Linked DNA regions of Arabidopsis thaliana. The protein of the gene in region 1 interacts with the protein of each later gene in a pairwise test. Each region holds a gene or a part of one and is shown on either strand. Other genes may lie near its edges.

Region 1 (3,928 bases):
TGTCCCCCTTAAAAGCTGTCCTTGCAAATGCAGCGAAAAACCTATTACAATTATGTTATGAACAATGGCTTTTTGACACATAACAACAGAAAGAAGGGATAATTTACCACGACTTACATCCCCAAAATCATGACAGTCAAAATTCCAGAAACCCCAGCCCACTCTTGAGCCTGTACATAGTAGAAATTTCTTAGGTTTCCTAGAGATTTAAGATTCTCCATTGGGGACTAAGTTATGTAGAAGAGAAGAGCATACAGTGTAATAGGCGAAATAGCTCGCTGAAAGTGTTACAGTGATCTGAGCCACCGTGTCATTGAATATGAATTTAAGCCAAAAAACTGATGCAATTCCAAAAGCTAGACCAATGCCTACACTAAAAAACCAGAACAACATAAGCGGAGAAAAGAAGACAGCGACATACAATACTACTAACAAAGGAAAATAATCCATACGCTCCGAATGAGTTTTGGACAAGAAATTTGATTATGGAACCCCAATCAGAGTTATGCCCCATCACCATCTTGAAGAATAATTGAAAAACCACAACCGATACCCTGAATAATCCAAACAACTAAGCTTGATCATATATGACATAACATCACCTTGATGCTAAACATAAGAGTTTGACATGGTTACCCATCGTTCATGAGAGATTCCCCATCAATTAACGTGGTCATCTTCTTACTAGCACCAAGCTCCTTTAGCAAAGCAACAACAGCCACGGGGTCGGTAGCTCCTAAAAGTCCTCCAAGCAACAATGATGTTTTCCAGTCCCAGTTATATGGAAAAGTAAGCTACAAGAGCATAACTCGAAAAAATTGTTAAGTTAATTGAAGCTCACTTAATCACAGTCGAAAATGTTGAAGCTAGTTAAAGTACCTTTATAAGAGCTCCGAGACAAAAGGTGGAAATCAGAACTCCAGGTCCAGCAAGCAGAACCATTTGTCCCATACATCTCTACCAATGATGTAAAACAATCAATACCAGGAACCAACACAGCCAAGGAAGTAGCTCAATCAGGAAAGTAAAAACCTTGATCTGGTGCACATCCATGGAGAATGAGCTCTCGAAAAGAAGAACAGGGAGAAAAACAGCCAAAAGTAGGTCAGGGTTGATACCATTCCCTGTAAAGTTGCCATTTTTTAGAGCTCGTAATCTAACAGTATGGAGAAGAGAAAATACAGTAGCTTACAGATACGAATTCCATGGCCGAGCTTCCCAAGGTTATGCTTAGTTCCATATTCTACAGAAGCAAAAAAATCCAAAATTTAACTACTTTCTAAAATCTTCCACGAAATTGAAACTGAGCTATAAAGCTTAATGAGCAAACAAATAAGACCTAGGGATCCGAGAAAAATGCCGATGACGAGAAGAACGACGGTGTACGGAACTCTAGTGCCGTTAAACAAATATCTACAAGCGGTGCCGAGAACCAGCGAAGTTCCCGCGAAAATAACAGCATCAACAGGACTCGAATCGTTCTCAGCTGAATACGAAGAAGATGCAATTGCTTTCTCCGGTGATTTGTACGGCAACGCCGCGCCGATTATACTCGTCATCTCCGGTAGAAAGAAGCAAACGATCAATCTTTCGTTTTGCCAGTGATTACGGTCAAAGATGCTTTTACCGAACCGAATCTGCTTCGTTTAAGAGTGAACCAAGATTGAATCTAGTCTGGTTTGGCTTGACCTGTTTTATTTCGGTTACGTCTGGTTTTCTATCACTAATTTGAACGAAAATTTGAGAAATCTTAATACGTTTTTGATTAGGTTTCTGTTTTCTTTGCTAGATATGAATGTAGTTACTGGATTATACTACTCTGTTCAAATGAAGGGTACATATATTTACATGAACCAAATTATGAAATAACAAAACCGACTCACTCTAGTCTCTAAACTTAACTAGTGTCACTTTTGTTTGTTTGTTTTGATCCATACTTCAATGTATCTTGTTCAAATTGTTTGATTTTATTTTTGGTATAAGTGGCTACATTGTAATTTCTTGCTGATTCAATCTATAAATCGAAAACCTTAAATTATCCATGCCTCAAAACGATGCACGTTGTGTATAAATGAGAATTTTAAATTGTTTAGTTTCTATAATTGCTGTCATGACGTGAGATCATGCAAAGCAATTACGTACGATAACGCACGTAAAGGAAAAATGATTATCAGATTCATATATTTTTTTTTTCAAAAACTTGGTCTCGTGTAACATCATTCGTCATTCTTCATATTCACTATACTATAACCACAAAAGATATTAAAAAAATAGTCACTCCACTCCACATCTAATACAAAGAAGTAATAATTTAACTATTCAAAATTTATGAAGTGTTAATACGATAAGATTTTCGACCCAAGGAAAAAAAACACTATAAGATACATAGGTTTGGCAGAACAATTAGTTCGCTCACTGCCTACATATTCTTTTTTTGGTTTAATTAGCCTACATATGGGAAAATGATTTGTATTTTGTTAAATGCCACTCACATTTGTTATAAATAATTAGTCTTGGTTTCAAAAGCCATATATTTATGAATTTATAGACATTGATATTTATTTTTATGGTTGGAAATGGTATAAAGTATTATTGACTATAGTTTTTTTATGTATTTTTCTTATGAAATAAAGTGAGAAAATAATAAAAATATTAAAATTTGTGTAGCTGACTCGAGTTTGATTGAAGTCTTTGGTATATAAATATTGTCGTTATTTCCTCCATTTTTCTCCCTCTTCTCCCAAATAAAAAAAGTTACTCAGATCTCACGATTTGAGCAGAATACGCAATGAGGACACCGACGACGATTCTCCTTCTTGTCGGAGCTATCCTCTTCTCCGGCGCCGGCTATGTCAGATCCGACGCCTCCGACCACCGTTACAAGGAAGGAGACACCGTTCCTCTCTACGCCAACAAGGTCGGCCCATTTCACAATCCAAGGTAAACGGAAACATCTATTCTAGATCTGAGCTTCAGATCTGAGGTTGTTTCCCATTCTTAAGCCTGAGGATGATAAATTGATCGTTTATTGTTGAATCTGTTGCTATTGAATTGAGTAACGACATTGATAACTGAGTACACTGCAAAATGCGTAATGTTAAAACCAAAGAGTGAAAGAAGAAACTACATTTGGAATGTTTTTCGTTTATGTGATGGATCTGTCTTAGATTTGAATACTATTATATGACTGATTTTGGTTTTGTTCAATGATGATTGCAGTGAGACGTATCGATATTTTGATCTTCCCTTCTGTATCCCAGGTATGCTTATATCTTTACTAGCTTAATCACACGATTTGTGTTTAAGCCGCAACTGATTTGTGTGACATCTCCTGATTCGATCATCCCATTATTGAATATGGTTTATAGAGGGTGTGAAAGAGAAGAAGGAAGCTCTTGGCGAGGTTCTAAACGGGGATCGGCTAGTTAGCGCTCCATACAAGCTCAACTTCAGAGATGAAAAAGAGTCTGAGGTATACTGCAACAAGAAGTTGAGTAAAGAAGAGGTCAAACAGTTCAGAAAAGCTGTTGAGAAGGACTACTACTTCCAGATGTACTATGATGATCTACCTATCTGGGGATTCATTGGAAAGGTTGACAAGGATATCAAATCTGATCCGAGTGAATTCAAATATTTCTTGTACAAGCACATTCAGTTTGAGATTCTATACAATAAGGACCGTGTGATCGAGATCAGTGCTAGAATGGATCCTCATTCGCTTGTGGATCTCACTGAGGATAAGGAAGTTGATGCAGAGTTTATGTACACTGTGAAGTGGAAGGAAACTGAGACTCCTTTTGAGAAAAGAATGGAGAAGTACTCTATGTCTTCTTCTCTTCCACATCATTTGGAAATCCACTGGTTCTCCATTATTAACTCCTGTGTCACTGTCCTTCTTTTGACTGGATTCCTTGCAACTATCTTGATG
Region 2 (3,928 bases), on another chromosome or scaffold:
ACAACAAAATGTAAGAGAACAATTCTAGTCAAAATGGCAACTTACAGTATCTTGAGGGACAACTCCAATGCAGCTTCGAAGACTCTCTAGTGTCACTTCCTTTATATCTTGACCATCAATCCTAACATTACCAGAATCTGTGTCAAAGAACCTGAAAATCATTCTAAGAATCGTCGATTTGCCGCTTCCGCTACTACCAACAATCGCTACACTTTTCCCTGCCGGTACCTCAAATGAAATCCCATCCAAAATCTTTCTCTCTGGCAGATAACTAAAATGTACATTCTCAAAACTGATGCTTCCACCTCTCAGAACAAGAGGAGGTAGCTTTGTCTCTGTATCTTTATCTCCAATATCGGATCTCTCCTCTAGCAACTGGAACAATGATTTCATATCAACAAGACCCTGAACGGTTTCACGGTAAACACCACCGAGAAAGTAAAGAGGAAGAGACAATTGAAAGAGAAGACCATTCACCATCACCAAATCACCAACTGTCATCTCTCCATTCATAATCCCTTGAGAACACAACACCATTGATGTTGACAAAGCTGTACTAAATATAAAACTCTGTCCAAAATCTAAAAACGCAAGACTCTTCTGAGTTTGCAATGCAGCATCTTCATATCTTCCGAGTAAATCATCGTACTTTCTCGCTTCGTAATCTTCGTTGTTAAAATACTTAACAGTCTCGTAGTTTACAAGAGAATCAATAGCTCTTGTGCTTGCATCATTATCAGCTTGGTTCATAGCTTTTCTAAACTTAGTTCTATACTGTGTCACAACCAATGTGAAAGCTATGTATGATCCAACGGAAAGAGAAGTGATCAAAGCAAAAACAGGTCCAAAATTGTATGCTAATATACCTGTGACCATTGATATCTCCAAGATCGTTGGAACAACATTGAAAACCATAGCAGAGAGGATCGTGTTAATCGCGCGACTTCCACGGTCAATGATTCTATTCAAAGCTCCTGTTTCTCGATTCAAATGGTAACGAAGATCAAGATCATGTAAATGCGAGAGCACTTTACGAGAAACAGATCGTATTGTGCGGAGAGATACTTTGGAGAAAACAGCAGTACGAAGCTCGTTAAAAGCTGAAGATCCAGATCGAGCAATGCCATAGCCAATGAGAACGGAAGAAGGAGTAGCGAAAGCAGCAAGTAGATAAGGATTTGAATCAGTGATTGTTGAAGATGAATATGAAGAGAGTAAATCGATAGATAATTTGAAGAGGAAAGGAACTTGAACATTCAAGAACTTAGCTCCTATGAGACACGCTAAAGCAGCGATGACTCTGAATCGGAGTTCTGGGTTGTCTTTCATCCATAGATAGCTTGAAATCGTGCGGAGGATCTTCTTAGATGATGCTGTTTTGGTTTGATCTTGATTTGGAGTTGAAGTTGAAGTTGAGAAGAAGAAGACTCGTGCGTTGACTGGAGATGGAGATGGAGATGGATCGGTGAAGAATGCATTGATAGCTGGTGATCTCTGAATTGAGCTACGTTTGATAAAACTGGAGAAACTGTGATGGTGATGATCAGAGCGAAGACGGTGATACAGAGAAGCGCGAGAGAGGAGAAACCGAGATCCCCTCATCATCGCTTCTTGTCCGAACGAATCACATACAATTTGGTCTAAATCGATTCTTTAATTCTCTGTTTTGTTCTCTCTGTACTACAGAGTAGCTTAACAAGAAGACGAGGAAGAAGATATCAACTCGGAAATAACCGGTTTTGGTTTTCTGTTTTTATTAAGATAATGAAATTAGCTATCTCGGAGATAACCGGTACTGGTTTGATTGCAACTGGGCTTGAGAGAATCAGATACGGTGGTACACACCGCAGCGAATCTCAGAGTATTCATTCTCTCACATGGACTCTTTCGAAAATTCAACTCTTCTACTATATGCAATTAATTAAAAAATTGAACGGTTTATTTGGAAAGTGAAAAGAAGCAACGGTCGGTTATGTCTTCCCTCCAGACGACAGGGTTTTTATTCGGACACCACTAAAAATGGACAGCTAAACTCCTTTATTGCCTTAAAAATTCAATTTTAATTACGTGATTAAAGATTAGATTGCCACTTGATTTTAAAATACTAATTAAACCTATATAGTGATGGTATCTAACTATCAATAGCTTTAAACCGGAACTAATCAGCACCGTCCGATTTGGAAAGATGGATGGACCAAAGGACGTGTGGGCACGAGTCCCCCCTCTCTGTACACGTGGGTCCCACTAAGCCTTCTAAGTAATCTTTTTCTAGCCGTCCGATTGAATCCCATGAAGCTGACATGTGAGCCCCCACTTCTTGAAAATATATATTTGTATGAATTTTGTTTTTATTTTATTTTCCAGCCTTTTAAAAATGTTTTTATTAATACCACGGATACTACCGTTTTGATATCAAATTTTCTTTGAAATCTATCCGATCTTATATCAGATTTTGGAGTCAAATACCAACTACAAAAATCTGAACATTAATACAATAATATACATTTTGAAAAATCATGTTGTCCATTATATTTTTTGGCATCTAATCCTATCGTTAATTGATTATAAGTTTATAAATATATTACAACGGAATTTCGCATAATTGTAAAACTTCCCTATATAAACTTACGAAAAATTGAAATAATTATACCAAAAGTCCACATATTTTATTTTAAAAACTTACATAAGTGGATATTGTTAAAAGAAGGAAAAAAAAAGAGTTTCTAGTAAATATAGTCACGGAATAATGTGAGAAATTTATTATTGGATCAAAAAAATGATAAAATTGGGCGAGAAATAAGACTAAAAGTTAGGGAAGTGAAAAAGAGACAAATCCCACCCGTCGTGTCTTCTTGTTCATCCTTTGTTTCCCTTTTTCTTTCTCACTGTTTCTGCCTTACTTAAAGTCTCAATCTTTGCTTCAAATTCAACCCATCTCTTTTTCCTCCCTTCCCTCACAATCAAAATCTTAATTCTCAGCTTCTGGTTTTGTCGAAAATGGAAGGCGGTTCCGCTAGTGGATCGGCTTCGGCTTTGTCAAACGATGAAAATCTCGTCGTTTCTTGTGAGGATTCTTCTTCTCCTATAGGGAATGAGCTTGAGCTTGGTCTTACGTTGAGCCTTGGTCGCAAAGGGTATCGAGATTGTAGGGTTTACGCTGATGATTCTTCTTCTTCTTCATCATCTTCTTCTCTGAGCAGAGCTAGCGTAATTGCTGGGATCAAGAGGACAGCTGATTCCATGGCTGCAACTAGTGGGTGAGTGAAATTCTCTTCCCTTTCCTCTTTTACATTTTGATCAATTATGGTTTATTTGGGGATTCTTAATATCATGATTATCAATAGAACTATAAATAAAGATTTGATTTTTGCTTTTTATGGTTATGGGATTGATTAGACAGAATGTCCTTGATCACAGTTATCTGAAAAGATTCGACCTTTGTTACGTATAGATGACTTTGAATGTATCTTCCTGATCATTAGATAGTTTGCTTTGGTCATTATATCTTCAAATTGAATCTTACTATCGTTTTCTAGAGATGACAGTTTTTTTCTTCTTGGATTCTAAAGTATTTATTAGCTTTGGAGAGAAAGTGATTAATCCTGTATAGTGATTCTCTTGGTATCTGATTTTACAAGGCCCTGAAGTGTTTATAACCCTTTTTATGTGTTTACTCTTATTTGAGCAATTTGAAACCTTTGAAAATGGCAGGCAAGTTGTGGGATGGCCACCAATAAGGACTTACAGAATGAACAGTATGGTTAACCAAGCTAAGGCTTCAGCCACTGAAGATCCGAACTTGGAGATAAGTCAAGCCGTAAACAAGAATAGAAGTGATTCAACAAAGATGAGAAATTCCATGTTTGTTAAGGTGACTATGGATGGCATTCCTATTGGAAGGAAAATCGATCTGAATGCTCATAAATGC

Evidence for each region.
Region 2: the proteins of NHX8 (region 1) and ABCB23 interact in a protein complementation assay, tested with the Arabidopsis thaliana proteins (one large-scale study listed by BioGRID).

The regions. Positions count from the first base shown.
Region 1 is NC_003070.9:5,034,881-5,038,808, forward strand, and holds the start of NHX8 (Na+/H+ exchanger 8), read right to left. Parts: upstream 1,731-3,928; 5' UTR 1,560-1,730; coding exon 1,340-1,559; intron 1,244-1,339; coding exon 1,193-1,243; intron 1,125-1,192; coding exon 1,033-1,124; intron 958-1,032; coding exon 880-957; intron 795-879; coding exon 637-794; intron 555-636; coding exon 453-554; intron 374-452; coding exon 256-373; intron 171-255; coding exon 118-170; intron 42-117; coding exon 1-41. Other genes in the region: AT1G14670 (Endomembrane protein 70 protein family), read left to right, coding at 2,789-2,940, 3,220-3,260, 3,369-3,928. UniProt on the Arabidopsis thaliana protein: May act in low affinity electroneutral exchange of protons for cations such as Na(+) or K(+) across membranes. May also exchange Li(+) and Cs(+) with a lower affinity.
Region 2 is NC_003075.7:14,139,291-14,143,218, forward strand, and holds the start of ABCB23 (ABC transporter of the mitochondrion 1), read right to left. Parts: upstream 1,765-3,928; 5' UTR 1,606-1,764; coding exon 46-1,605; intron 1-45. Other genes in the region: IAA11 (indole-3-acetic acid inducible 11), read left to right, coding at 2,998-3,257, 3,712-3,928. UniProt on the Arabidopsis thaliana protein: Performs an essential function in the generation of cytoplasmic iron-sulfur proteins by mediating export of Fe/S cluster precursors synthesized by NFS1 and other mitochondrial proteins.